Stegostoma tigrinum: one gene and its partners. The protein of the gene in region 1 interacts with the protein of each later gene in a biochemical or structural test. Links are inferred from orthologs where the notes say so. Each region holds a gene or a part of one and is shown on either strand. Other genes may lie near its edges.

What was found.
Region 2: the proteins of protein c-Fos-like (region 1) and runx2a form a complex in vitro, tested with the Homo sapiens proteins (2 studies listed by BioGRID). The link is inferred for Stegostoma tigrinum from reciprocal best matches to the Homo sapiens genes FOS and RUNX2.
Region 3: the proteins of protein c-Fos-like (region 1) and runx1 form a complex in vitro, tested with the Homo sapiens proteins (2 studies listed by BioGRID). The link is inferred for Stegostoma tigrinum from reciprocal best matches to the Homo sapiens genes FOS and RUNX1.

What each region holds. Positions count from the first base shown.
Region 1 is NC_081363.1:1,204,685-1,215,636, reverse strand, and holds protein c-Fos-like, read left to right. Parts: upstream 1-6,573; 5' UTR 6,574-6,645; coding exon 6,646-6,774; intron 6,775-9,022; coding exon 9,023-9,199; intron 9,200-9,427; coding exon 9,428-9,535; intron 9,536-9,876; coding exon 9,877-10,368; 3' UTR 10,369-10,770; downstream 10,771-10,952. UniProt on the Homo sapiens protein: Nuclear phosphoprotein which forms a tight but non-covalently linked complex with the JUN/AP-1 transcription factor. In the heterodimer, FOS and JUN/AP-1 basic regions each seems to interact with symmetrical DNA half sites.
Region 2 is NC_081357.1:75,381,658-75,392,338, reverse strand, and holds the start of runx2a (RUNX family transcription factor 2a), read left to right. Parts: upstream 1-6,489; 5' UTR 6,490-6,962; coding exon 6,963-7,277; intron 7,278-8,085; coding exon 8,086-8,242; intron 8,243-10,681. Other genes in the region: supt3h (transcription initiation protein SPT3 homolog), read right to left, coding at 1,703-1,755. UniProt on the Homo sapiens protein: Transcription factor involved in osteoblastic differentiation and skeletal morphogenesis. Essential for the maturation of osteoblasts and both intramembranous and endochondral ossification.
Region 3 is NC_081365.1:22,188,598-22,198,510, reverse strand, and holds the start of runx1 (runt-related transcription factor 1), read left to right. Parts: upstream 1-5,016; 5' UTR 5,017-5,177; intron 5,178-5,357; 5' UTR 5,358-5,401; coding exon 5,402-5,459; intron 5,460-9,913.

The DNA of each region.
Region 1 (10,952 bases):
AACCTGTTTAACTTCAAAAACAATCCTTCCATACCAGGATCATCCCAATGAACCTTCCCTGAACTACCACCAATGAAATTATATCTTTCCTTAAATAAGGTGACCAAAATTGCTCCAAGTTATAAATATATACTGTAAACAGTTGTGGCCCCAGCACTGATCCCTGTGGAACCTCATTGGTTACACATTGCCAACCTGAAAAAATCCCTTATGCCCACTTGCTGTTTCCTGCCATGACTGAATTATTTTTCCGTGCCAACATACTACCTCCAACCCTGTGGGATCTTATCTTACAACTTAATCTTTTGTGAGGAACACCTTCTGAATCCAAGTGCATCTGCTGGCTTCGTCCATCCACTCCAGTTGAGACTTCATTCAGAAACTTAGTCAGATACGATTTCCCTTTCATGAAGCCATGCTGACTCTGCTTAAATAGAGCATCGAGCTCTACAGCACAGAAACAGACCCTTAATTCCAACTCAACCAGATATCCCATATAAATCTCATTCCACTTGTCAGCATTTGGCCCAGATCTCTCTGAACCCTTCCTATTCATATATCCCTCCAGATGCCTTTTAAATGTCGCAATTGTACCAGCCTCCACCACATCCTCTGGCAGTTCATTCCATATATGCACCAAACTCTGTGTGAAAAATTTGCCCCTTAGATCCCTTTTATGTTTTTCCCTTCTCACTTTCAGCCTATGTCCCCTAGCTTTGGACTTACCCACCCTGGGGAAAAGACCCTGTCTATTTACTCTATCTATGCTCCTCATGATTTTATAAACCTTTATAAAGTTACCCCTCAGACTTTGATACTCCAGGGAAAATAGCCCTAGCCTATTCAGCCTCTCCAGACAGCTTAAACTTGGCAACATCCTCGTAGGTGTTTTATGTGGCTTAGTTAACTCAGCCACATTAGGGGCATTTAAACAGTCCTTGGATAAGCATATGGATAATGATGGGATAGTGTAGGGGGAGGGGCATAGATTAGTTCACAGGTCGGCGCAACATCGAGGGCCGAAGGGCCTGTTCTGCGCTGTGTTGTTCTGTGTAAATCTTTTCTGAACCCTTTCAAGTTTCACAACATCCTTCCTATGGCAGGGAGACCAGAATTGCCCACAGTATTCCAATAGTGGCCTAATCAATATCCTGTACAGCAGCAACATGACCACCCAATGCCAATACTCAATGCACTGACCAATAAAGGCAAGTCTACCACATACCTCCCTCACTATCCTATCTACCTACAACTCTTTCTTTGAAGGAACCATGAATCTGCAGTTCAAGATCTCTTTGTTCAGTAACACTCTCCAGGACCCTACCATTAAGTGTGTAAGTCCTGCCCTTTCCAAAATGCAGCACCTCACATTTATCTAAATTAAACTTCATCTGTCACTCCTCGGCCCATTGGCCCATCTGATGGAGATCCCATTATACACTGAGGTAACCTTCTTCGCTGTCTACTGCACCGCCAATTTTAGTGTCATTTACGAATGTACGAACCCTACTTCCTATGTTCATATCCAGAACATTTATATAAATGGTAAAAAGCAGTGGACATAACACCGATCCTTGTGACACACCGCTAGTCACAAGCTTCCAGGCTGAAAACCAAGTCTCCACCACGTCCCTCCGTCTTCTACCTTTGAGCCAGTTCTGTATTGAAACAGTTAATTCTCCCTGTGATCTAACCTTGCTAACCAGTCTACCACGAGGAACCTTCTCGAATGCCTTATTGAAGTCCATATAGATCACACCTATCGCTCTGCCCTCATCAATCCTCTTTGTAACTGCTTCAAAAAATTCAATCAAGCTAGTGAGACACAATTTCCCATGCACAAAAACATTTTGACTATCTCTAATCAGTCCTTGCCTTTCCAAATACGTGTAAATCCTGTCCCTCAGGGTTCCCTCCAACAACTTGTCCACCATTAATGCCAGGCTCAATGGTCTATAGTTCCCTGGCTTTCCCTTACCACCTTTCTTAAATAGTGGATCCATGTTAGCCAGCCTCCATTCTCTGGCACCTTACCTGTGGTTATCAATGATACAAATATCTCAGCGAGGGGCCCAGTAATCTTTTCCCTCACTTAGTGTACACCTGGTCAGGTCCCTGGGATTTATCCACCTTTATGCATTTTAAGACATTCAGCACCACCTCCTCTGTAATATGGATTTTTTTAAAGATTGCATTATTTACTTTGCAAGTTCTCTATCTTCTATATCCTTCTCCACTCTAAACACAGATGCAGAATACTTGTTTAGTCTTTTCCTCATCTCCTGCAACTTCACACATAGGTGACCTTACTGATCTTTAAGAGACCCTATTCTGTCACTAATTACCTTTTTGTCCTCAATATATTTGTAGAATTCTTTTGAATTCTCCTTAACCCTATTTGCCAAAGCTATTTCATGTTTCCTTTTTGCCCTCCTGATTTCCCTATTAAGTATATCCTACTGCCTTTACATTCTTCTAGGGATTCACTTGATCCCTGCTGTCTATACCTGATGTTTCCTTATTTTTCTTGACCAAAAACTCAATTTCTCCAGTCATCCAGCATTCCCTACGTCTACCCGCCTTGCCCTTCACCCTAACAGGAACATACTGTCTCTGGACCCTTGTTACCTCATTTTTTAATGATTCCCATTTTCGAACAATCCCTTTACCTGCAGACGTCTACCCCCAATCAACAATGAATTCACATCAGCCTTTCCTGGACCACTCTCCTAAACCGTCTAAATCTTTCTGCAACTTCCCCACCTCCTCAGTGCTACCTGCCTGTCCACCTATCTTCGTATCATCGGCAAACTTCGCCAGAAAGCCCCCAGACCCTTCATCCAGATCATTAATATATAAGGCGAACAGCTGCGGCCCCAATACTGAATCCCGCGGGACACCACTCGTCACCAGTTGCCATTCCGAAAAACCTTTTATCCCAACTCTTTGCCTTCTGTCAGACAGCCAACCCTCAATCCATGCCAGTAGCTCACCTTGAACACCATGGGCCCTCACCTTGCTCAGCAGCCTCCTGTGAGGCACCTTATCAAAGGCCTTTTGGAAGTCTAGATAGATAACATCCACTGGGTTTCCCTGGTCTAACATACTTCTTACCTCTTCAAAGAATTCTAACAGGTTTGTCAGGCTGATTAGCCTAACCTCAGTTGTTGGTAAAATTCTAGAGTCCTTGCCTAACACCATCAAATACCAAATGTTCTGCTATTACTTTCTAAATAATTGATACCATTAGTTTTCCAACAATAGATGTTAGGATAATCAGCCTATGGTTACCTGCTTTTTGCATCCCTCCCTTTTTGAATCGTGAGTGTCACCTGGCAGTTTTCCAATCCTGTGGTACTTCATCAGAATCCAGCAATCTGTGCCCTTTTGTGCTTTCTTCTTTTACAGGTGACAACAGCTTCTCCTTATCTACTCTACCTGTGATTTTGAAAACTTAACAATCCCAATTTCTTCAATCTATCTTATCAGTGAAGTTTCTCATTCCTGGAACCATTCTTCTGCTTTCCTTCTACATTCTGTGTTTGTACCTGAATAGATACTTTGGATCTGCCTTCACTCAGGAAGACACAAGCAATCTCCCAGATACAATAGTGGCTGAAGGACCTAGGGTAATGGATGAAGTGAAGGGAATTTATATTTGGCTGGAAATGGTGTTGGACAGACTGTTTGTTCTGAAGGCTGATAAGTCCCCTGGACCTGATGGTCTGCATCCCAGGGTACTTAAGGAGGTGACTCTAGAAATTGTGGACGCGTTGGTAATCATTTTCCAATGTTCAAGAGATTCAGGATCAGTTCCTGGGGATTGGAGAGTGGCTAATGTTGTCCCACTTTTCAGGAAAGGAGGGAGAGAGAAAACAGGGAATTATAAACTGGTTAGCCTGACATCAGTGGTGGGAAAGATGCTGGAGTCAATTATAAAAGATGAAATTACGACTCATTTGGATAGCAGTAACAGGATAGGTCAGAGTCAGCATGGATTTACAAAGGGAAAATCGTGCTTGACCTGCAGTATTGTATGCAGTTTTGGTCTCCAAATTTGAGGAAGGACATTCTTGCTATTGAGGGAGTGCAGCGTATGTTCACGAGGTCAATTCCTGGAATGGCAGGGCTATCATATGTTGAAAGATTGGAGCGACTGGGCTTGTATACACTTGAACTTATAAGGATGAGAGGGGATCTGATTGAGACATATAAGATTATTAAGGGATTGGACACTCTGGAGGCAGGATGCATGTTTCCGCTGATGTGTGAGTCCAGAACCAGAGGACACAGTTTAAAAATAAGGGGTAGGCCATTTAGAACAGAGTTGAGGAAAAACTTCTTCACCCAGAGAGTGGTGGATATATGGAATGCTCTGCCCCAGAAGGCAGTGGAGGCCAAAGTCTCTGGATGCTTTTAAGAAAGAGATGGACAGAGCTCTTAAAGATAGTGGAATCAAGGGTTTTGGGGATAAGGCAGGAACAGGATATTGATTGTGGATGATCAACCATGATCATAATGAATGGTGGCGCTGGCTTGAAGGGCTGAATGGCCTACTCCTGCACCTATTGTCTGTTATTCATGTCTCTCCCTGACCCTTTATAATGTAGCCCCACATTCATGGGGGATTCAGCGGTGACATTGCCATTGACTGCCATGGAGCAATGGTTGTATTCTCTCTGGCCATTGCCTGGATGAGAATATTATTTTCCACTTTACAGCCCAGCCTTGATATTGTCCATGTTTTGCTGCATGGACGTCTTCAGTATCCGAGGAACTGTAAATATATCAAAATGTTGTTTAATTTTCAAAGAATATTTCTTCAACATAGGTTCAATCTTAAAATTATTTGCATTTTTATTTTCAAATCCATCCTTGACTTCTCAAATCCATCTCCCCATCCAGCCCTCACAGTCTCCTCCAGCTGCACAATGTCTGCAGATCTCAAAACTGAACTTACACAACCTCAGTCAGTGATTGGGCCTTCAGAAAGCTGGACATTAAGTCTGGAATTCTATCCCTAAATGTTACCATCTCTCCATCCTCCTTTAAGATGGTCCTCAAAATGATGCTCGCTGACCAAGCTTTGGACATCTGCCTGAATAATTCCTGTGTGTGAATGTTGCTATAAAAGATGCTGTCAAAGTTTCTTTTTTCGAACATCAGGACAGGGACAAGAGTAACAAATTTCAGAGGAAATAATTTATACTGCATGAAAAGGTGTGCTGATTCTTCGACCTCTGGACTTCAATTGGTTGAGGTGTCAAGCATAGACAACAGGGATAACAAAGTGTGGAGCTGGATGAACACAATCGGCCAAGCTGCATCTTAGGAGCGCAAACCTGACCCTTATGCTGTGATAATGGGAACTGCAGATGCTGGAGAATTCCAAGATAATAAAATGTGAGGCTGGATGAACACAGCAGGCCAAGCAGCATCTCAGGAGCACAAAAGCTGACGTTTCGGGCCTAGACCCTTCATCCTCTCTGATGAAGGGTCTAGGCCCGAAACGTCAGCTTTTGTGCTCCTGAGATGCTGCTGGGCCTGCTGTGTTCATCCAGCCTCACATTTTATTATCCTGACCCTTACTTATGCTGTTGTTATTTCAAATAAGGCACAGTGCTTTTTTTTTTCTGCAGGGACAGCTCCCTGTGTTTATACCTACTTTGACAACACTACCAGCCCTCGGAGAGAATCGCAAGGTTTCACAAACCGCACATTATCCTGGTTTGGAAATATATCGGCATTCCTTGACTGTCACTGGGTCAAAGTCCTGGGATGCCCTCCCAGCATTCTGAATGTACCAACAGCACGCAGACTGCAGCAATTCAAGAAGCCAGCAGCTCCTACTCCAAGCTCGCGGCATCCACATCCTGTGGATGCATGAAAACTGATCTGGAGCAAAGATATCGTTCCGTACAAGGCAGGCAGCTTACACCGCGCATTTCTCACACTTTGCATACAGGCAGTTGAGAATAAGTTATAAATATTCGGATGGGACAGGGTGACGAAGCCGGGTTAAATGTGAGGACAGGGCATACAAACAGAGAGATGTGGCACTGAGGCAGAATGCTGGCTGGCTGCAATTCCCAGCTACAGAGGCGGCATCAGTTTTCTTTCTGCTCCTGCCCAGCTGGTTGTTGTTGTTGTTGTTTTGCAGTGTCCCTGCTGGCAGCCTGGGATCTTGCTGTGCCGCCGGCTCTCTCTCACTCCCCCTCCCTCCGCGCATCCCGCTTTCCGGACCTCACTCCAAATAAGGGCATCTACGTCAGTAGGTTCCCGGTGCTGGGCCGCACCAATTCGGCGTGGGTTGGGTGAACTGACAAGACCAAGCGAAACCGGCAGTTCCCGAGGCTCAGGCGGCCGTTGACTGAGAAATGGAGCTGATTTAGACTCCCGCTACTTCTGACCGTCCGGAACCTCTCTGTCCTGTCTCTCTAGTGTTTGTAGTGTCTGCATGGACGACTCTGCCCCCCCTATTCACCTATGCATGATGGAGCCGTCCAGGTGCGTCATTCGCCGCAAATCCAATAAAAGGCGATGGGTCCGAGCCTGACACAGCAAACCCTCCGGAGAGAGACAGCGAACAGCACCGGGACGGAAAGGCAGATAGCGCGGACACAGGCAGCCCGGAGACCCGGCACAATGTTCCAGGCTTTCAGCACCGACTACGACTCCGCTTCCCGCTGCAGCAACTCGCCGTCCATTGGCGATCCGTTCTATTTCTCACCCGCAGACTCCTTCTCCAGCCTGGGCAGCCCGGCCCACGTCTCGGTAAGTGACCGAGAGATTAGATGGGGCTGGGGTAAACACTGATGCTGGGGGGCAGGGGGTGCTGGGGTAAACACTGGAGGGGTAAACACCCACGCTGGGGGGGGTTGGTGGGGTGAACACTGACGGTGGGGGGTGAACACTGACGGCGGGGGGGTTGGTGGGGTTGACGCTGTGGGGGTGGCGGGGTAAACACTGACGCTGGGGGGTTGGTGGGGTAGCGGGGTAGACACTGACGCTGGGGGGTTGGTGGGGTAGCGGGGTAGACACTGACGCTGGGGGGTTGGTGGGGTAGCGGGGTAGACACTGACGCTGGGGGGTTGGTGGGGTAGCGGGGTAGACACTGACGCTGGGGGGTTGGTGGGGTAGCGGGGTAGACACTGACGCTGGGGGGTTGGTGGGGTAGCGGGGTAGACACTGACGCTGGGGGGTTGGTGGGGTAGCGGGGTAGACACTGACGCTGGGGGGTTGGTGGGGTAGCGGGGTAGACACTGACGCTGGGGGGTTGGTGGGGTAGCGGGGTAGACACTGACGCTGGGGGGTTGGTGGGGTAGCGGGGTAGACACTGACGCTGGGGGGTTGGTGGGGTAGCGGGGTAGACACTGACGCTGGGGGGTTGGTGGGGTAGCGGGGTAGACACTGACGCTGGGGGGTTGGTGGGGTAGCGGGGTAGACACTGACGCTGGGGGGTTGGTGGGGTAGCGGGGTAGACACTGACGCTGGGGGGTTGGTGGGGTAGCGGGGTAGACACTGACGCTGGGGGGTTGGTGGGGTAGCGGGGTAGACACTGACGCTGGGGGGGGGGGTTGGCGGGGTAGGGTAGACGCTGACGCTGGGGGGGGGGGTTGGCGGGGTAGGGTAGACGCTGACGCTGGGGGGGGGGTTGGCGGGGTAGGGTAGACGCTGACGCTGGGGGGGGGGGTTGGCGGGGTAGGGTAGACGCTGACGCTGGGGGGGGGGGTTGGCGGGGTAGGGTAGACGCTGACGCTGGGGGGGGGGGTTGGCGGGGTAGGGTAGACGCTGACGCTGGGGGGGGGGGTTGGCGGGGTAGGGTAGACGCTGACGCTGGGGGGGGGGGTTGGCGGGGTAGGGCTGACGCTGGGGGGGGGGGTTGGCGGGGTAGGGTAGACGCTGACGCTGGGGGGGGGTTGGCGGGGTAGGGTAGACGCTGACGCTGGGGGGGGGGTTGGCGGGGTAAACACGGATCGGTGGGGGGTTGGCGGGGTAAACACGGATCGGGGGGGGTATGTATTTTGTCCCGCGGTGGGAGGGCTGTGCTCTCTCTGGTTCCGGGAGAATCCACGTAAAGTGTGACGTCTGGGGCTGGTGATGCGCTCGCTCTGAACCAATCAGCGCCGCTTTATTAATAAACCCCGTGACGTCAACTCCATTCACAAAAACAATCTTGGCCCCGAGGTGGGGAGGGGGGGTATCCCCGCACGGGGGGGGGGGGCGCCTGAGTGTGTGTGTGTGTGTGTGTGTGTGTGTCTCTCTCTCTGTCCCCCTTGGGGGGGGGGGGGTGTGTGTGTGTCTCTCTCTCTCTCTGTCCCCCTTGGGGGGGGGGGGGTGTGTGTGTGTGTCTCTCTCTCTGTCCCCCTTGGGGGGGGGGTGTGTGTGTGTGTGTCTCTCTCTCTGTCCCCCTTGGGGGGGGGGTGTGTGTGTGTGTGTCTCTCTCTCTGTCCCCCTTGGGGGGGGGGGTGTGTGTGTGTGTCTCTCTCTCTGTCCCCCTTGGGGGGGGGGTGTGTGTGTGTGTGTGTCTCTCTCTCTGTCCCCCTTGGGGGGGGGGGTGTGTGTGTGTGTGTCTCTCTCTCTGTCCCCCTTGGGGGGGGGGGGGGTGTGTGTGTGTCTCTCTCTCTCTGTCCCCCTTGGGGGGGGGGGGTGTGTGTGTGTCTCTCTCTCTCTCTGTCCCCCTTGGGGGGGGGGGGGTGTGTGTGTGTCTCTCTCTCTCTCTGTCCCCCTTGGGGGGGGGGGTGTGTGTGTGTGTGTCTCTCTCTCTGTCCCCCTTGGGGGGGGGGGTGTGTGTGTGTCTCTCTCTCTCTCTGTCCCCCTTGGGGGGGGGGGGTGTGTGTGTGTGTCTCTCTCTCTCTGTCGCCCTTGGGGGGGGGGGGTGTGTGTGTGTGTCTCTCTCTCTCTGTCGCCCTTGGGGGGGGGGGGGGTGTGTGTGTGTCTCTCTCTCTCTGTCCCCCTGGGGGGGGGTGAAGTCTGTCTGTGTCCCGGCCTCTGTCTCATGTGTTTCTCTTTCTCTCTGCAGGACCCTGGCTCCGAGCTCGCCCCCAGTCTGACGGCCCTGAGCCGCCGGCCCGAGCTGCAGTGGATGGTGCAGCCCACCCTGAGCCCCCGGCCCAGGCACGAGTACAGCCTCGGAGCCCCGTACAGGGCACGGGCCGCCAGCAGCAAATGCCCCGGCCGCAGGGGCAAGACTGACCAGGTGAGGCCGGCTCCAAGGAGGGGGCTTTGCGGGGCGGGAAGCGTGGTACTGCCCCTGACGTGGGGGGGCACTGTACCTGCCGTTCAGCTGGGGGTGGGGGGGGGGGGGCAATCCGGAGGGATGCAGGCTCGGCTGGAGCGGTGGGGGATAATGTTTGCTGCGGTCTATGAAACAGGGTCTCACCGCCCGCCCCCTCTCTCTCTCTCTCTCTCTCTCCCCACTTTGCAGCTGAGCCCCGAGGATGAGGAGAAGCGCAAGGTCCGGAGGGAGCGGAACAAACTGGCTGCAGCTAAATGCCGGAACCGGAGGAGGGAGCTGACCGACAGCCTGCAGACGGTGAGTGCGGCTCCGGGACCGTGGGGGGGGGGGGGTAGTGCCGGTTATGGGGGTGGGGGGAGTCGAATCATAGAATCCCAACGGTGCGGAAAGTGGCCGTTCGGCCCATCGAGCCTGTGCTGACCCAGACGCCCACTTATCCAAGTTCACTCTCTCAACCCCCCAACCCGGCTCAGGACCGGGTTTTGACTGTAGCTGCCCCACCGCCTGGGGAGGGGCTGAGTATGTTGAGGTCTCTGGGAGGGGGTGTTGCAGGGCTTGTTGTGGGGGGTGTCTCTCTGCTGTGAGCCGCCCTTTGACTAACCAGTAGGGGGTTTGTTTTTGTTCCCCACCCCGTGCAGGAGACGGAGAAGTTGGAAGGGGAGAAGTCTGTTCTGGAGACGGAGGTAGCGGAGCTGCTGAAGGAGAAAGAGAAGCTGGAGTTTATCCTGGCGGCTCACCGGCCGGTATGTCGCATCCCAGAGCCCGAGGCCCCGGGGCTCCCCGGCGGCAGCAGCATGGAGAGAGCGGACCCGGAGCGTGCAGCAGCCCCAGCCCCAGGCCTGGACAATAACCTGGGAGCGGACTTACTGGGCAGCATTGACACAGGCCGCTCAGTCCCCGATGTGGATTTGATCAACCTAGCCGACTGGGAGCCTCTGTATTCCTCACTGCCCGCCGACTGTGAGCCCCTGTGTACCCCTGTCCTGCCCGCCACCCCGAGCGGTTCCTACTCGTCTTCCTTCGCCTTCAGCTACCCGGAGCTGGCGGCGTGTGGCTCCTCTCTCGGCCCCGGGGCTAGCAGTGACCATTCCTCCGACTCTCTGAACTCTCCTACCCTGCTAGCCTTGTAAGAAGCTGAGGGACATGGACACGGACATGGACACAGCCAGCTCCCCAGCGCTGCATGCATCAGCCTGGGAAATGCATGAGACTGGCCTCCTCCCTGGGCTGAAGCTCCACACTGTTACTCACTCAGCCAGAGACACGGTGCTAGACTCTTCTCCAGATGGTGTTTCGTCGTATCTATATTACTGCGATATGGTGTGACTATAACATATCAACAATAATTTATTGTAAAAGTTTATTTTTAAAAATATTACCTTGCTCTTCATTGTGTTCAGTGGTCTTGAATATTGACATCAGTTTTCCATGAAAACGGTTTAATTTATTTCTAGAAATATTTATTTTTTCTATTTTCCATGAGATTAAGTGTTTGCCTTGTGCTAACATTAATAAAATGATTTAAGCCAAAAGTAATTGTTGCTCTCTGCAGGGTTATTGTTAACTGGGCTGTTCAATCGTCAGGCCAAAGGGAACAGAACACTTTTTCAGCACGGCATTTGAAGCAGAGCCACCCCTTGAATGTTCAATTGCCTTAACACAAACGATAACACTTTGTTAGCTCTCCTCATTACTTGCTGTGCTGACCAGTTGA
Region 2 (10,681 bases), on another chromosome or scaffold:
CAGGTAATGTAAATTAAAGTTGGATAGTTGAAGTTTGGTATTAAGAGTTTGATGCTGAAACTGAATATTCAAAGATATACCTAACTATGTTCTACCAGATCTAGTGGTGATGGGACAGTGCAGAGACAACTTCAATCTTAACATTCTTGGAGATATATCATCTACTTCTAGCATGTTAACATTTTAAATAGGTTATTTTAAATATTTATCTTGCGGCTCATCAGTCTTGTCTTAAGACATTCCTCTGTAAAAACTAAAGCAAATTATTGATTAACCATCTCGGTGTTCCCTTCTGCTCAATTAAAAAAAAAATCAACCTCTTCAGCCCTAATTCATATCAACATAATTCACATGTACTCAAAATCTCTATTTCCTTTGCGAGCGTTTTCATACTTCTTAACATGTTTATCTCCCATTTTTCTTTGAAACAGAATCAAAGATGAGGAAGAAAATTAAACAATACAGGAATAATTATGTAATGTATCCAAGATTTTCACTTCCAATTAATACATCTGGAAATCCGTTTCAATTATCTAGCACTCTCCACATCAAGAACTTTGTGATAATACAAGTTACTTTGATAGTTTAACCCTATTCCCTCCTTGTCCTAATTCTACAGTTCAATCTAAAATACAAGCATCTTCCCATACTATTGTAAAAAAAACTGCCTCTACAAAATGAATGTTCTTTCTAAATTGAGAACCAGGTTCAAGTCCCACCCATTCCAAGGATATGTAATAACATTTCTGAACAATAAATTATTAGAATTTTTTCCACAACATTACACTCCCGTCTACATTCAATGTCCCTCATCTACGTGTGCATTTTGCCAACTTTTACTTTTGAATGCTTCCTTCAATTCCATTGCCCTTAGAGTCAGAGAATCAGAGTTGTACATCTTGGAAACAGACCCTTCAGTCCAACTCATCCGTACCAACCATATATCCTAGATTAACCTAGTTCCACTTGCTAGCATTTGGCCCACAGCCCTCTAAACCCTTCCTATTTATGTGCCCATCCAGATGCCTTTTAAATGTTGTAACTGTACCGCCTCCACCACTTTCTCCGACAGCTCATTCCATTCATGCAATACCCTGTGTGAAAAAGTTGCCCCTTAGATCCCTTTTAAATCTTCCCCCTCTCACCTTAAACCTATGCTCTCTAGTTTTGGACTCCCCTACCCTGGGAAAACAACCTTGGCTACTCCTCACCCTATCTATGCCCCTATTGATTTTATAATTCCCTATAAGGTCACCCCTCAACCTCCAATGGTCCAGAGAAAATAGCCCCAGCCTATTCAGTCTCTCCCTATAGCCCAAACCTTTCAAACCCGATAACACCCTTTCAAGTCCAACAACATATTTCCTATGGCAGGAGACCAGAATCGAACTCAATATTCAAAAGGTGGCCTAACCAATATCGTGTACAGGCACAGAGAAAAACAACCATTTTGCTTTGAGTTAAGAAATCAGAACTATTTATGCAAATGAGAAATGGTGGTGGCCTCAGCATGAAATCCTTGGAGAAAATGCACCAACCCCCCTAATAAAAATATAGCAGGTCCAACTGCTGTCTACACTTCATCTGATTTATCATCAACACTTTCTAGTTCAACTGATATATATTCACAGGGGATATTGTCCAATGTCTTTTGAAAATCTAGCTACATTGCAATTGGGGGATGGGGGGTGTTGTTTCTTACCTCCATAGTCCAAGTGGGATGTCACTTAAATATTGTGAAGTTTGGTTAGGCATTATCTTCCTCTTTTAAGTCCTCAAGTGTGCTGTTTTTTCAGGAGAAGCACAGTTGTAAAGCTAGTTTCAATTAGCATTCATAAAATGATACAGAATACATGGGATATTTTTGACCGTTATCCAAACAGTCTCACTCAGCCGCAATTTCTGCATTTTTCCCCCACAACCATTTCTTCAAAACTCTTCAAAATGAATGGAGAATATTCTTCAACCTTCCTTTCAGCGAGTACATTCAAGATCATTACCTGCCACATTTTCTCCTTCACGTCACTACTGCCTCTTTCACAAGTTATTTTAAGTCTGTAGGCTCTGAAACTATTTGCCTTATTTACTCTATCATAGAATGGTTACAGCTCAGCCTGTCATTTCTGTGCCAATTTTCTGCAACAGCAACTCACGTAGTCTCGCTATGCCCCAGCTTTACCTGCAGCCAGGAAAACTTTGATAAATCCAACTGGTTTGTTACTTAGATCAACAGTGTCCATGATTTTGAACATCTCATTCATTGTCCTCTTAGCTTTCTCTGTTCTAATGAGAACATCCCAAGTCCTGTAATCATGACACAGTAGTCAAGTTTGTCATCCCTGCTAACATCCTATTCACTCATCTCCACAGCCTAGGAGTTTAACATCCAATCTAAAGTCTCGTACCAAAAATAAAGCATAATTCTCCAGTTGAGGCTGTGCACAGTATTTTTTAAAGAGTCATAACATCCTTGCTTTTGTATACTATGTATCAATAACGGTCAGGACCATGTGCAGCTTTTGAGTAACTTTCTCAACTTACTCTAACATCAAAGACTTGTGTAATGCATTCCAAGGCTCCTACATTCATGTATCCTCTCTAAAATTACATTGTTTAATTTATATTGTTTCTATTCAATCCTCATCAAAACTAATTGATATTTCTGTGGTATATTTCATGTCACGTCTGCCTATTTTGTAAAAACGGAAAGAGCTGCGGATGCTGTAAATCAGGAACAAAAACAGAAGTTACTGGAAAAGCTGGGAACATATTTTCCTTTATTTATTCTATCCAGACCCCTCGCAATTTTCAAAGCCACTATCAGGTATCTTCAATCTTTTCTTGTCCAATGAGATTGAACAGATTCCCCAATCTACCAACTCTGAAGTTCCAAGTCCTTGCAATTATTCTTACAAGTCTTTCCTACATCCCTCTAATGACACCTAATGCATGGTGGCTAATGTTGGAGATAATAATATAGTTAAGGTCCAAACCAGTGTTTTACAGAGGTTATTTGTTTATTTTTGTATTTTTTATATGTAAAGCCCACACCCCACGTTTCATTAACTATTTCCTCAACCTGCCCTTTTACCCATAAGACTTGTGCATACATACCCCTAGGTCTCTCTGTTCCTGTGCCCTGTTTGCAGTTGTATCCTTTAGTCTGTACTGTCTCACATCATTTCTGTAGGAAGAATGAATCACTTCAAATTTCTCTGTATTAAATTTAATCTATCATTTATCTGCCCACCATCTAATGTTGTTCTAATGTTATCAAATGCCTATTGCCAGTCCATATCCACAATCTTTGTTCGCTGGTAGAAACTCAGTATGTAAATATTCAATAATACTAGTGATAACAAGCATGGCTTTTTTTATTTCCCCTACCCCATCCCTCCACCTATTATTATCAAGTGGTGTCAGGGAATTTTACAGTTCCTATTAGATGCTACTTATATATAAGCACTAATCTGAGGCAGGTTACCGTACTTACCTCACCACAGAGATGCTTGGAATAGGAGATCCTAAAGCAAAAGGAGAAATAATTAAAAATGAGCAATATGTTTTGCATCATGTGAGTCCAGTCACTGTTAGCTGAGCTGGAAGGTAAGGCAAGGACACTGGCCACAAGAAAGGCATGGCAGAGTTCTGGCAGCAACTAGAATGTGGTACAAGGTGTTAAACAATAGACAATAGGTGCAGAAGTAGGCCATTCGGCCCTTCAAGTCAGCACCACCATTCATTATGATCATGGCTGATCATCCACAATCAGTATCCTGTTCCTGCCTTATCCCCATAACCCTTGATTCCACTATCTTTAAGAGCTCTTTCTTGAAAGTACCCAGAGACTTGGCCTCCACTGCCTTCTGGGGCAGAGTGTTGAAGAGAGGCAGAGGGTGGATAATCGCTGCGCTAAGGGGTGGTTCCAGGAGGATGTTAGCTGCACTGGGAGAATAATGGCAACAAAGGTGGAGATTCATGTGAGAGGTACTGGCTGCGATGGGAAATGGTTAAGTTGAGTTAAAATCATAGAATCCCTGTGATGCAGAAAGAGGCAATTCGACACATCGAGTTTGCACCAAGTCTCCAAAGGACATCCCAGTCTATCACCAAAACCACCCCACCCCACCCCCAACTACCATAGCTAATCCACCTGGCCTGCACATCCCTGGGTGTAGAGAGCGAGGGGAGTGAACACTAGCCACAATGAGACACGGTAAGGTGGGGGGATCTGCTAGCAGCTCCGAGAGATGAGAAGTTGGTTGGTGGTGGGATGTTCGGTGTACTGGATGATGAAGATACTGTTCACTCGCTCTGAGGGCATTCGGGAGGGGAGGGGCTATGGGCCGCACTCGGAGTCGGTGGTTTGGAGCCACTCGCTGTCCTGGTGGGCGTGGGGTGGGATTGAAAATACCAACCGTTCACTGGAAGATGGTTGGCACGGAAGAACCGGCTGTACTGGGCAGCAGTGGGTGCATGCGACGAAGGGAAAAGTAGATAAGATGCTGGGGGGAGAAAAGGGGACCAGGGAAGAGAGGGAGAGAGGAGAATATGTTAGCCACACTAACGAAGCGGGGGGCGGTCTGTAGATGATACTGGCCACACGGTTGGGTCGGTTAGGCTACACGTGTGAGGATTAGGCAGCGGAAACGGAACGCACCACCCACTTTAAAACCAAAATGTTTTCAGCCGCCGTGCGGCGACAAACTCATCCCGTCCTCTTTCCCCTTCTACCTCAAGTCTGCCCTGTGTCACTTAACGAGAAACGTACAAACTAGATTAAGGGATGCAGGATCCTGCTAAAAGATATCAAATTGAAAATGCGGGCCTGTGGCACAAAAGCTGCCCCAAATATTCTACTCACTTTTGTTTTAGTGAGCAAATCCCCAATAAGTAAACAATTAGCCAGCACCAGAAGGAATTGGCCTTGTAAACTGTCTCACTGATCTCTGTTTGTTTCTCTCCTCCAGTCCACTGACAACTCCTCGCGCGTAAAACCAAGACTTCCGGCCCACTCACATCCACGCAGTCGCAGTTCGAGGCGCACGCTGAAAAGTTGTAGTCCGTGGTTCCTGTCTCCGTGGAATAGGAACTACAACTTCCAGCGGCGCCGAGATGGATTTACAAGAGGGGTTAGCGCGAGCGCTGCCTGCCCCTCATTGGCGCTGATTGGTTATCCGTCCGCCTATGATTCGCGGTTGCCTAGGCGCTGTTCCATCGCTCAGTGGATGTTCGCCATGTCAGTCAAAGCGTGCGTGGCACTTCAAGACGCGTGCGTGGAAATCCGAAACAAATGGGAGTCAGCGGGGGGTTTTCGTTAGGATTTGTGAGCTCTGGTGTAGCGTGTTGGTATGGTGCGTTGGCAGTTTTGCAACATCAACTGACTGCTAACCATCCATCCCACGGTGTGTTTATAATCCAGTTGTTCCCTCAGCACATACTCTATTGAGGCAATTAAAGTTACCTAAATAGTTTAACACTATATATTTAAAGAAAACGTACCCACGCCTTGACCAGGGCTCCTTTCGGACTGGGAAAAAAGTTTACCAAATGCAAAAAAAAGCATGTAATTTTATTGAAGATTCTTTTCAACTACAATAAACGGGATCGTGTAGCAGTCGTGTTCAGCAGTCATCGCTCTTCATTGTGCAGTCTCTGACATATGCCCTGTTTAGCTTTGCTAATCGCTAAATGTAACGTTGCAGATTATTATGATTGAATTTCGTACATAGTTATCTGGAGAGAAGCCAAAGCCTTATTAGTCAATCCGTGTAATGAGTGTATCGAATATAACATTTTGACATAACGTTGCATGTCATATATCATGTCCCTTTGATGAATACTTCTGAAAAGCACGTCGTTTGAAGTTGGTTTAACAAGAGCGATGCCGGTGCCAGATTACTGACTGGCTAAATAATTGCTTCCTCACTCAAATTCAAGTAGCTTTTGTGCGTTTGAAAGTTATCGTTGGGTTTACCGCTAATTTACAGCAATCAGTTAACAGGCTGAGATTCGATTCGTTCCAAGCCCAATGCGCTCTCGTCCTCTCATTCATGTTTCGTAAATAATTTCAATAAAATTAACCCACAGTGGCACTGTTGCGCAGGCTGCGTGTAGCATTTAGAAGCGATTTACAGTGTTGTGCAAACATTTGAACACATATCGAAATGAACTCAGTCGCAGAACTTTAAGACCTAAGCAAAACCACAACAGAAACTGGAAGTCGGCTGCCTCCTAACACTTTTTGAGGAAATAAGCTATGAAGAAACCATCTGAGGGCTTTGATAGGCTCGGATCATAACAAGTAGGCGTTTGCACTTTTTACGATTGGATATGTAAATGATTTTCATAGTGCATTTTTTTTAGCAAAGCCTTACTCTTGGCGGGGGGGGGGGGGCATGCTTTATAACTCATTCATTCAAAGATATGTTTTAGTGTGCAATCTACAGCCGTTCCCTGAAAATTATTTCCCCAGCAGCGAGGATCAAAATATACTTTCATGTATATATTTGGGACGAGAATCGGATTTGGAAAATACCAGCGAGATCGTCTCGGCCTCTCGTCTTACAAGGGAATACAGTGTTTTTTAAATTCGTGTATGACTCCTACAGCCACCACGTGCTCTTTGATGTCTCATCATCGCTCACTTTTTTCATGACCACAAACTTGCTTTATAATCCCAACCTCCGTGAAACCACCAGTTGGAAACTGTGGCTTTCCCCCCTCTTGATCGCCTTGACCACAAGTTGGATTAGAAATTTTCTCCCCAAAGACATACATTTGGAATATATTAATAGTTGCAGGAGGAATAAGTGGCCTTCCTGAAAAAAAACTTCTTTATTTAAAAGGAGAAAAAACGAAACAAAATAAAGAAACTGGACTGGATTGAGTGACAATAGCTGGCATTAATTGGACAGATTGACTATTTGTGGCTACTGTAAGCCCCTAATCAAAGTGTTGTGATGCGTATTCCCGTAGATCCCACTACGAGCCGGCGTTTTACTCCACCGTCCACCACATTACCAGCATCGGGAAAGATGAGCGATGTGAGCGGGATGGTCCCTCACCAGGAGCCCGGGCCCGGAGTGGGAACAGCCGGGGCAGCAGCGGCGGCAGCGCTCGGCAGGTCTCTGATCCGGCCCCATGAGAACCGAACCATGGTGGATATCATTGCCGATCATCCAGCAGAGCTGGTCCGGACTGACAGCCCTAACTTCCTCTGCTCTGTCCTACCATCCCACTGGAGGTGTAATAAAACGCTGCCCGTGGCATTCAAGGTAAAAAAAAAGTTTATTTTAAGAGTTCGTCCAGAGTAGGAATAAAGTACTGGAAACAAAACCAAGCGGTAAAAAAGTGAAGATATGGATTTTCGGCACATTGGAGTGAATGTAAATTTTTTTGCCGCTTTTAGTGCGTATTTATGGTAATTTTTTTAGAATTTATAGCATTTTAGTTATATCTTTCTATAGTTTGTACTTAGACAGAGTTAGACGACAAAACGGTGAATATGCAGCATTTCTCTGCTGTTACATTATGGCACACAGTACAGACAAACCTATGTCAGAGGACAGTACGTGGATCATTTCTTGAATTTTTAGCTTTTAGTGATTGTTACATAAATATGTCCAACAACAAACAAAGTAACTTAACTAATAGCAACTTGGTAGTACACCCGGTCACTCCAGCTCCTTTACAAAGAGCAGAATGTACGCTTCAAACTAATTCCCTATACGCCTAAATAAGGGTTTACTGTAATGATAAACAGTCATGGGGATTGAATGGTACAGCTGGGACAGTTCGCATATTTTCCTGCAAACCATATCGACTTTTTGTTTTAATCTTCACAATAAAATTTTTCACAGAGCTAAGTCAATGTCTTTTTGTTTAGCTTTCAACGTATAAGGGGAGATGGAACAACTGTACCATCTGTAAAATGACTGGACAATATCCACCTTTATGAGAGTTCTTTAGCAAATGCTTAAATGTGTTGCTTAAGCAAAGCGACTGTTCTTGGAGACAACCAGGTCGTTCGCCATGGGCGGTAGCGAACCCAGTGTATTGACGCTGTGCTTTCCCCTCTGACAGGTGGTAGCCTTGGGGGATGTTCCTGACGGCACTGTGGTCACCGTTATGGCCGGCAATGACGAGAATTATTCCGCCGAACTCCGCAACGCCTCGGCAGTAATGAAGAACCAAGTGGCTCGTTTCAATGACTTGCGCTTCGTGGGCCGAAGTGGAAGGGGTACAGTAATTTACCTGGTTTAAATTCCCGGATAATTTATCCGCGTTTGCACATTATAAGTAATGATGTGTGTGTGCTTGCGTGTGTGGTCCAAGTGGTATTTCCGAGGCACGGGAACGTGACACCATCCTGCATATATGCTGGTATAGAAATTATTGTTCAAAGAAGTTAACTGCATCCGATTTTAAAGAATGGTTGTAGGGTCTATGTATCTGCCTGGCACTCCACCTATTTCTGCTGTTTTTTTGTCAAGTTCTTTTCCACCTGTTTATCGTATCAACTTCTCGAAATTTTGGAACCTCGCTCTCCTGCTTTTTTTGTCTCCGTCCCTTTCCCGTGTTCGACGGCTAATTTTACTGTCGTCTCGTCTTTCAACAAGGAAACATTGTTTAGTCAGATGAGCTGAAAAATCTGGACAAAATTGCAAGGACATTTTTTCCAGATGCCCATTGCTGAAATGTATCTGCGTTCTGAGGTTCAACATCTTTGTAAACATCACCCTCTTCAGAAATTCAGAAATTAGCGAATTGACAGTTTTTATTCCACGTTAATCCTTACTGGATCAGCTTTCTCTTTTCGCTTGAAAGAGACATATAGTTAATAGCCGGAAGGATTTCTCTTACACGCCAACACTTTTCTAAAATTAATCCTTATGAAAAGGGAGAAAAAAAGGGGGTTTCTAAAACTCACATTGAGTGCCACGTCTCTTGTTTTCTGTAAAAAGAAACGTATTAACCAAAGTCAATGCACAATGCAAACACATAAACTGCATATACCTGAAAAAGTTGTTTAAAAAGTTCAAAGAAATCACAAAGGAGTGGTGTACCCAGTTTTACTGTTTTGCTTTTCTCTTGGCTCCATTCCCAAAAAGCTTTTTTTTTCCTTTCAAAAAAAGGCTAACTGCTTGCAGGCTTTTCACGCATGGAAGATGAAGAAAGCTTCTTTTGATGAAGTGTAATTATGTCCAAACAGACTTGACCCTTTTTTTCTTATGATCTTCGTGGAACAAACCCTTGGTTTGCTTTGAAGCAGACGGCTTGTTTCCAGCTCCGAGTGTGCCAAAGGCAGGAAGAGCTACAAAAGAGGTTTTAAGTCGAGACTTGTCTAGTGAGATTCAGTTCAAGAGGAGAGGGGGGAAGAGATAAGATCGTTAATTGATGCCCATTTCTACTGAACATTGAGCATTCTACTCTACATTGAGCCACCACCAACAGATCCAGTCAGTGTAAGGACAGGGAAACAAGCATTCAAACTATTCAGTCACTTAGAACCTGAGTTACCTATTAACTGATCTTAGACAGCAGACCAACATAGACAACTTAACTGGCAGTAGAATAAAAAAGATCCAGTACAAAAATAGGAAAGTGGACAATCAACATTAGGTCAGTTGGATAGTCATTTGCAGATATTTGCTAAATGAAAATTTGAGGAAAGTTAATGCAACTCTCTCATAAAATCAAAAACGTTTCAACAACAGAAATTTAAGAAAAGGTCAAACAGGAAGACAGAAGGTTTGAAATTATAAAACAATGGGCCTTTAAACAAACATAGATATTAACATCCAGCAAATGACTGTGAGTAACAGAGTTTGAAACAGTCTGTTCTGATTCATTCATTGGTTTATGCAAAGTTCTGCATTGATGCAAAGTGATGACTGTTTTATTGACTCACTTTACAACGCCCACCTCTTCCTGTCTTGAAGCATTACTGCATTAACTGCTATTGGAAATGACTAACAATTCCATATCTACCTTATAAACATTCGAAAGGTACAGGATGCTCGATCGTATAATCCATTCAATTTTCTGATACTCCCCAAGCAGTTTACAAATTGTGCAGCCATTCCATAGTATTAAATAACAGACTTTTTGAAATATTTAGATGATTAACAGATATTCACTTAACTCTAAAGAGTAGGGTAGTCACACAGAAAGATGCAATCTTCATAGATATATTTACATTTCAAAGTCAGTAATGTTCTTTTGTTTGGATGAATGCCTTCACCAGGTTTTAAATGATATTATGGATAACTTAAACTATCAACAAGGACCTTGTCAAATTTAAACAGGTTCACAAAAATATTCTGGCAATGATATTATTAATAATTATGTGCCTTTGAGGTGGTTAATTTAAAGATTTTAAAACAGTACTATTCCAGGTGAACTTCTTCAGTTCACTGCAGAGCCAACGATCAATGTAAGAAAGAAGATAATCTTGCAGTTTATTTACCTTTCATGACCCTGAGCATCCCAAGATGTTTTACAGGCACTTTTGAGATATTGACACTTTATAATGTAGGAATTACAAATGTAATATATTTTTGTTTTAGACTGTTATATTCTTGGATTACAGAATTTGCATTGGACACTGGTCCCTCACTCGATGTCCTAAAGTGTTTTTAAGAACCATATAATTACTTTTGAACTTAACCATTCCTAA
Region 3 (9,913 bases), on another chromosome or scaffold:
TTTCAGCAGTAGACAACCCATCCCATTTTTACCTATCCTTGGTTCGTACAGGATCAAGAAGAATTTTTAAAAAACATATTATCAAAATGGTGGGATTGCAAAGCTCTGAGATGCAGTGGGATCTGGGTATTCCAGTGCATGGATAGCAAAATATAGTTTGAAGATACAACAAGTAATTCAGAAAGTTAATCCAATGTTACCATTTATTGTGAAGGGTACTGAATGCAAATGTGGGGAAGTTATGCTTTAGTTTTACTGGGAATTGGTGAGCTCATTTCTAGAGCATTGTGCACAGCACTGGTTTCCTTATATAAGGGAGAATATAAATGCAACAAATGTATACTAGACTGGAATGGGCAAATTGTCTTATGAAGGAAAGTTGCACAGACTAGGATTGTGTCCACTGGAATGTAGTTATTAAGAGATATGGGTCACAGGAGTGTATATGGAGTTAGGTCATCGATCAGGCATGACCTCATTGAATGGCGGTACAGTCTTGAGGGACCAAGTGACCTACTCCTGTTCCCATATTCCTACCTTGCTCTCCAGGAGAGTACAAGGTGACATTACTGAAATATATAAGATCCTGAGGGGTCATGACAGGGTGCACATGGAAAGAATGTTCTTCTTGTAGGAGCATCTAGAATTAGGCGATTCAAGATAAAGGAAGCACAGATTTAAGATAGAGTTGAGGGGAGGGTTTTATTTTTCTCTTCGAGATTTGGGAGGTTTTAGGATTAGCTTTATGAAAAGGTGGTGGAAGCAATGTCTCTGAATAGTTTGAAGGAGGAGGTGCATAGATTCTTGGCAAGCAGGTAAGTGGAAGATTATCAGGAGTGGGTGCGAATATGGAGAAAACTTATTAGATGATAGAATAGGCTGGAGAGGGCAAATGGCCTACTTCTGATGCTAACTCACATTTTATATATTATATTGGACTTGAAACATTAACTCCGCTTTTCTGTCTCTCTCTACAAATGTTGCAAGACCTGCTGAGGCTTTCCATCACTTTTTTTAAAATTTGAGATCTCAAGCATTCCCAGTATTTGTTTTTATGTTAACTCTTGTCTTACTACCCTATTGCACCAACCGCTTTGGGGTTAAGGCTAGTTTGAATTTTGCCTTCTGTGTGTTAGCTGATCAGCACCCTGGTTGCCGGGAAGTGCTCCACATTAGTTTAGGCTAGGAATTAGCCAATGTAGGAGGTTAGGTGAGACTACGATCAGCTGTCTAAGAGTCTCTTGGCACACTCTGTCAAACCTTGAGGTGTACATGCCATACAATCGCCTAGTTACTAGAAATTGGAACAACACAGTTCCTGCAAAGTGTGCCAACACCAGAGAGCGGGATTGAAAAAAATGGATTGAAATCATTCATATTATTACTGTGATCTCAAAAAAGAAAATCAATGTAGAATCATGTGCAACCTTTTCATCTGATTCTCCTTGGGAAAATACATCTGATATTTCACTTTCCACTAAACTTCACAAAGATGTATCTCCAAAAGATTACTAATCTGAATTTGAAACTGAAGTCAAATTTTGGTTTCCTCAGTGATTCAGCTTTTGAAGGATAATGTTCAGATAACTACAAGCTCTAACTTATGGCTCTAACCACTCAGCTTAAAGCCTGAAAATGTATTCCTGCTAATTCTTGTAGGCAGCAATGGCTAAAAAAATACAATCAGCGTCATAGGACATGACTGTATAACAAATAAAGAGTTTAATAATGTAATTAATACTGATGAATAAATAGTAGTTGAAAATATCAAAAGCTTTTTTGGTTCATATCTACTGTACTGATTCCAACTAAATGGATAAGGTACACAATATTATTATTACATCTTCCTGCATTTAAGACTCAACTATATAATTAACGTCAATGTGAATGGTTTCTAAAACTCCTACAAACAAACATAATTCGACATCATCTCAAATGGAGTTCATTTTAAAAAAAGCCTGCATTTCTGTTGCAATAAAATTGACATTTCAAAATTCCTGGTGATAAAATTAATTTTGTGTGGCTAACTGGTTAAGCCCATAACTAAAAAGGATTATTTCATACTCTCATGGCATTTTGCCCCTCCTGCTGGTGCTAAGTTTTGTTTTAGAGTAGCTTCACGCATTAGTAATCAGTTATACAGAGCCTTGTATAGCTACAAGCTGACTCAAAGCACTTTAGAACCAACTAAACACTTTTTTGATAAACACAAAGAGGTGCAGATGATGGAAATCTGAAACAAAAACAGAGTGCTGGAGAAACACAGCAGATCCGGTAGAATCTGTAGAGAGAATACAGAGGTAACATTTTGAGTTTGGCAATCCTTCATTAGAACTCAAGTACATTTCTGTTTTGTCCTTTGTTCTCATGTTAAAAAACATGGAAACAAACTTGGATGCAGCAAGCTCACACAAACAATAATTGATCAAGTAAACATTTTAAAAACCCTGTTGCTTAAGGGATACATACTGGTCATACACGAGAAAACTTCTGCTCCAACTCAATTAATCCATGGGATCCTTAAACATCAACTGAACAGGCAGACGGGGACTTGGCGCTTCTGAAAGATACATGTCTATTTAGATTTTGTGGTGATATTTGAACCTAAGAGCTTACAGGCTCAGAGATGGCAGTGCTCTGAGGCATACAGTACACCAGGGGTGGAAATATCTCACCCAATTTCCCTTCATTTTCAATCAGTGAATACCAGTGGGCTCAGACACCATGGCAGACAAGATCAATTCTCTGTCCTCTCCAGACGTCACCATTGCTGCATCCTCTAACAGGGATACATATTAAACATTGATTGTTCTCCCATGCTGACCCAGAGCCATTTACTTCAATCCTAGAACCTTAGCTCCTATCTCAGTTGAATTTCATCAACAGGGTATTAATGAAGCAAAGAATGTGTTCAAGGTGTAATAATGAGCCATAGAATACCTGTGACCCACTGGTCTATGGTGGAGGGCAGGCTGCTCTTGTTCTGGAATATCTTAAAATATATCGATAGGACCAAAGAAATTTGAATGGTTGCACACAGCTTGGCTGTTAATGACTGATATTTAACTCGGAAAGCTTCTTCAGAGCTCGATTCCTGTTCTTGGCTTCCTCACATTGCTTCCACGTGCATTTTTAACATCTCTACACATCGATTGATGTCAAAGAGCCAGCAGACCTCCGTAGATGCATCCTCTTGTGGAAAGGAGCCATGAGCTGGGCTGGGAACAATTAACAGCGATAGGATGAGGGAAGGGAGGGGGTTGGTGGGTGGAATCTTGCTCTTTGACTAACACAGCCTTGCCAATGGCTATGCCTGAACATCACTCAAGAAGAAAGGAGAGACAAACACCCCTATTTTGTTCCGCCCTCTTTGCTTTCATTTTTTTCGAATATAACATCAAATGATTCTGAATACTGTGGCACCAATTGCATGGAAATGAGCACCAGGCTTCGCGAAGCATAATAGCCTGGAAGTACAAGGAAGAATTCATAATGTACATCTCTCACACATGGTGAAGTTATTTGCCGACATACATCCACACCATCACACTAACGGACTACAATTTCTTTGTTGAAAGATACAGCTTGTCACCAGAGGTTGAAGATTTAATTTTTTTTTAATTGGTAAATTTCATCTATGTGTAGGAACACACAAAGAAAAAGTTAGCAGCAGATGGATCAGTTAAATTGCAATGTGGTTAACTGCAAAGGAAATTCAAAACTTTGTTCACAGAATACTTGCAGTGAGCCAGCTGCTGTACACCCAGGCACACTCCAACCTAACAATTAGTAGTCCCAATCACTTGCATTGTCCGCTCGAAAAAAAGGCAACGTAAGCCAGTAATAAGCAGACGACACATAGAATAATGTGCCACTTACCAATGGAGAATAAATTCGTTGACTTGCCTTTCAAATCCTTGGACTGCAATTAGAACATAAAGGCACTAATGTATTTCTTTTAGGAAATAACTGCTCGGAATAGGACCTTGTGAAAAGTGCTGCGACAGTTACTGGCGATACTGAGTACAAGGTGAGTCCCTAAATTCTCTATAACTTGCAGAATCACTTTATTTAGCTAAGTACTTTTTTTGATATCAGGTATCCTATTCGGAAATTGCCTCTGATTTCATCAATTAGTAGCAATCTGATATATAAGTGCTCCCGGTTAAGTGTTTTAAAGTTCAATTTCTTTTTCCCCTATTTGTTTTCCTACTCTCAGGGAGGGCTGATTCCACAGGTGCCAAGTCGGTAGCTCTCCATGCCGTTGCTTCAGCGCCCACTCTTCATACAGGCGCTGAACATCAGCAGAAAGTTCAGCAGTGGACGGGCATTAGAGACGGTCCTGATTGCCTCATTTCATGGACACCCTCATACACTTCAAGCAAGATCTGGGCAGGATGCAGTAGGAGTATTGAGCAGCGTGCAAATGTCACCTAGGATTTTCACTTCAAGGTTATTAAAAGTTAAAATTTAGAATTGGAGATGTCCATATTCCAATAATATTAGAAAAATTGTTCATTCTTCTACGAAGATTGAGGGGAAGAAATAATCGCAAAGGCACCAAATGTACCGCCAAAAATGTATACCACACTCTGAACATAATTAAACCAAAATCATAATGTTATCGTAACACTTCCAAGTGAGAAATTCTTTTCTTTTCGATAACTATGATAAAAAATTAGCAATAGAATTCATTTCTTTAAAACTGTATTATTTTCAGCAGTACAAAAATTGAAAGCCGCAGTGAAATATTACTGATGGTTTAAAACAGCTCCATTACTCTTAAAGCAACACAGGCTCTGTTGTACAGGATCATATCGTTCTATTTGCATAATAAGCAAAAAGGGACTGTGAGTCAGTTTTGCAAACTCTAGCCTCTGCTATTTCCTGACTGAGCTAAGGGGAGGGCAGGTGGGGCGGGAAGGGCATGCTACAATGAGAAAAAAAGCGACATCACTTGGGGCACATGATCAACGGCAGCCAATTAGGTTGAATTATCAAAGGGGAACAGTTAAATTTGTAATTTAGGTTGTGTGAAACTCTTTGGGCCTCATAAACAACCACAGAACCACAAGTTGGGTGCAGACCAGTCACACAACAGTGGGTCCGGGATATTGGTCAGCACACAGCAACTCATTCTGATTTAAACCACAGAGTGCCAAGCATTTCGTACAGTGGTAAGCATCATCTAACCACAACCAATCCACTATTTTTACATTTCAGACCTCAAAAAAGTACCTTATCGTGTTGTTTGCAGCACTGCAGAAGCTCTGTGATAAGGTAAAAGGAAATTGCCAAAGATGAACGGTACGGTGGAGAGTGCGACTCTTAAATTCTGTTGGTTTTCCTTTGAAAAGGTGGGAGACCTGTGCAACCAGTTAGGACGGCTTCACGGGACACCATGGCTTCGAACAGCATATTCGAGTCATTTCCTTCATATCAACAGTGCTTCATGCGAGGTGAGTACCCCTGTTTAAAATGATTCACTCCGGTGCATGTTGAGAAATAGTCCTCCAACATTAGATACAAGAAAGATGCTGTTGCTTTTGTGGCTGCACGATGAGTACTTACTGAGTTCATAGCTGATGCAGAAAAAGGTTTATTTTTAAGCATTTCATTTTAGTTGGCAATTATCTCCAGTTCAATAAACACTCTGCTGAGGACAGAGAAGTGGCTCAGAAACTGAAACACGTCTGTCATGAGCAGCTTTTCTCACAATATGATATGACTCTTGTCTGATGGATTCGTTGAAGAAAGTGTGTACTCTTTAGGGCTGACTGAAGAAACACTGGAGTCTTTAGTAAAGTCGTTTTGAAAACACAGAATTAGTCACCCTTGACTGTGAGGAAACAGAAGTACGAGATATATGTTCAGAAGCTTATGTCATTTTGAGTCACTAACAGTCGTCAGAATCAGGCTGCTTTTCTTTCAATGTTTTTGAAAAAGAATGACTACAATGAAGTGAGAGAGACTGATAAATGCATGAGCAACACCCTTGAAACAAAGATTGATAACTCTCTTTCTAAACTGTTGCTCAATTGTACATAGCATGTCACTGTTTTCAGTACAATCTGCACCTTAAGCGAGAAATTTGTACCATCGACTCATGGTGGTTGGATGATTTATGCATTCCTGCATCATCATTCAGCTCCGTCGAATGGCCACAGTCCCAGTGTAAACTTGCTAACAGCTCCCTTGGCTCACTAAACAACTGTTTCCTCAGTGCTGTTAACAGCCAGAGGAAACAATATTCACCAAATAATGAGAAGGACCTTCCTGCATTCAGTTTGCTTTTATTTCATGTTTTGTTTCCAACCCGTGGCCACAGGAAAACTTATTGAGGAAATTTTTACGAGTTAGATAAGGTAATAAAGAGCAATGTATAAATAATCCTTTTTCACTGATACAGAATGCAGGCAGCTGAGGCATAGGCTGCTGAACAGTTAAGGGTATTAGTTAAGACGCCATTTTTAGCCCATCACATCGGGTGAAAGAGTAAGAAGAGGAGAGACCTTGAAGCAGGCAGACCACCAGACCACCATTGGTCTGTCCAATTGATGGCTAAAACAAAAGAAGGGCAATTGCCACATGCAAACCAGACAGGTATTCAATAGAACTTGAATAGACATGAGGAGGAGAGTCTTTTTAAATATGTGTATAATAAAGCCGTAAATTTGGAAAGGAAATCAGCTTATTTAATCTGCTTGTACTTGAGATAAATTTGTTTTTGTTATTTTGGCTTGGCTTCCTCTTTTTCCCTTGCCTGTGCATTGAACTCTGGTCAGCCTTGAGATATGAGGCAAAAACAGAATGCCTCCTGGACACATGCAAGTTAGATAAATAATCATGTCTGTGGGCAAATTGTTTCTGGTGCACTTTTCTCCTGGCTATTTGCATAGCCCGGTCTTTGCAAACGTTCCCGGCGCCGCTCTCTCCATCTTTTGCAACAACACTGCTGAAATTTATTGCCCTCGCTCTGCTAACAAACCCCGAATGGTCAGCTGTGGGGAAATAACAAGTGGTTCTCGTCCCATATATTTCACTTTATCAGTCCTTGCAGTTCTCTCAGAAGGAAATCCATAACTCTTGTAGCACGATACCCATGTTAAAAATGAGAAGGAGAGAAAAAAAAAGCAATTGTTCTATTCTAAGAAAACACTGGAAGAAAGCTGACGCATGAATTGAGTGTGGTACACCACAAAGGATATGGGTCTTTTCTATCATACCACACCAGGCTCTCCCTTCTGCTCTCCTACAAGGAAACTGCTGAAGTCGCACCTTCCAATGAAACATTGCGCCCCAAGAGGATGGATGTTTTCAGTTTACAGTGAGTTTAAACATTAATCCTGGTAGAGAATATAAGCGCAGTTTCATTGTTCTGGTAATATATCACTCAATGGTACATTGTGTTCCAGCAAACCTTGCGCTGTGCACTGGTAATCTTTTCATTTTGCATTCACGATCTAACTATCAAAGGATTGCAGGGTTGTGGGAGGTGAGGTAGAATAAAAGAGAGACTTGTTTTAACATTGTGCTCTTCCTGAATGCAGAAAATCTCAAGGTGCTTCAAAGCCAATAAAAACTATTGAGGTGTTGTCTATGATGTGGTGTAGATAATGCGGCAGTCAATTTCCACACAGCAAGCTCCCACAATACACAGCAAGCAATATTATACTGTTCCGGTAATCTGTTATTGTGATGTTCATTGAAAGGTACATACTAGCCAGGGTATCAGGGAGAACTCTGCTGCTTCCCTGAAAAATAGGGCCAAGGGATCTTTTTGATCCACTGAGTGTAAAGAGAGCCTTGGTCTCATTCAGAAGATGATGCACATGCTGCACCTTTTCCTGATTCTTGTGCTCAAAAATTTACCAAAAAAGTAGAGTTGCTACCAATAGTATTAAGGCCTTACTCTGACTCTCTTCACTGATGAGTTTGGCTTACATTCTAAATTTTGTTAAATATTGTTGACATTACATTCATTATATTTCACTGCATCACTAGATAATGCATAAGCAAAGGCATTGTTAGTTAAGTATCTACAAAATGAGCAGGACAGTGGCTCTGTGGTTAGCACTGCTGCTTCACAGTGCCACGCACCAGGGTTCCATTCCACCCCGAGGTGGCACTCTGTGTGAGGTTCTACTCAGATCTGTGTGGGTTTCCTTCGGGTGCTCTGGTTTCCTGTCACAGTCCAAAGATGTGCAGGCTAGGTGGATTGACCATGGGAAATATGCGATTACAGGGCAGGGGGAATGGGTCTGGATGAGATGTCCTTTTGGAGGTTCAGTGTTGATTTGATGGGCTGAATGCCCTGCTTCCACACTGTAGTGAATCCATGAATGAGGCATTTCACAATGCCTGGCACTACAAATCTGTTGCATGAGTCAAGACTGGAAGGGATATGCTGAATGAATATTAGACATTGCCTGGTTTGATATCAAGTATACTCACTGACTACCACAGGAAGGCACAATTCCACAGCATAAACATCACTTGAACTTGGTTCTCATCTTGGTTTCTTTTGATGAATTAAGACAAGTACTGCTCTGAAAGACTGGGAACAAGAGGCTGTTAAATCCCAATTTATCCATATGAAAAATATTAAAATAGAAAAAGAAAATTTCTAGATTGTTTCCTTATTCCTCATCATTGGCAACATTACTGCGATCATCCATGCAATATTTACTCAAGAAACATTGAATATCCTCCTATAATAAATTGTTATCCACTAGGAAATGCATTTTGCGCACATGTATTGAAGCAAATGGGTAATAAAGGATTCTAAGGTAAATAGAATGTTTGAAATAAATATTTTAAAGTTGAGAAGAACTTTCATTTACATAGCACCTTTTGCATTCTCACACTATCCCAAAATGTGTTACAGTCAACCAGGTCCTTGTGAAATATGCCCACTGTTGAAAATACTGCAGCCACTTGATTTACAAGAAGGCAGCAGTGAGTTATATCATCAGGATATGTAGCTTTAGGTGTTAGTTGAGGGGTAAATGTTCACCAGGACACAAGTCAACCTTTGTTCCAAATATAAAATTTATAACATACATTAAGTGGAACATCTGATCACCTTTGAGGTCTGTTCATTTTGTTTCTCAACCATTTACCACTGGGTGGCATGGTGGCTCGGTTAGCACTGCTGCCTCACAGCACCAAGGACCCACCTTTGATTCCACCCTGAAGCCGCTGTCTGTGTGGAGTTTGCACATTCTCCCCATGTCTGTGTGGGTTTTCTCCAGCTGCTCCAGTCACCTCCCACAGTCTAAAGATGTGCAGATTAGTTGGATTGGCCATGCTAAATTGCCCATCGTGTCTAGGGATGTGCAGGCTAAGTGGATTAGCTATGGGAAATGCAGGGTTAATGGGCAGGGAGGTGGGTCTGGGTGGGATGGTGTTTGGAAGTTCGGTGTGGACTTGATGGGCCGAATGGATATAAGGATTCTATGACTTAAGTAAACCAAAACAACAATGCAGTGAAAAATGATGACTCCTGTGTAGAGTTAACGACAGAAATAACAGCTGAGAAGTGGTAAGCGTTTGAAAGTTCACAAATAAGCTCATTTTGATATTTAATGGAGTGAATGTGTTCATTTAGACAGATCCTATTCCCTAAGCTGTTATAAATACTGCTCAAACTAACCTTTGCTTCCGTAAATATTAACCCACACCCTCCTGAGTAAACAGGCTGGATCATTTCTTAGTGTCAGACGGGGTAAAGTGGGAGCTGTGTGCCTTGGCATGCAGCAGAGGTTCAAGCTCAATGATGCTGTATATACCACAAGGACCCAAAACCTTTTCCCAATGTATTGTCAGTATTTAAGAACAATAACATAACAGGTTTTTTTTTTGATTTGCAAACTTAGAGAGTGTTGCATCTGTTCATTTGGAACATCCTGCA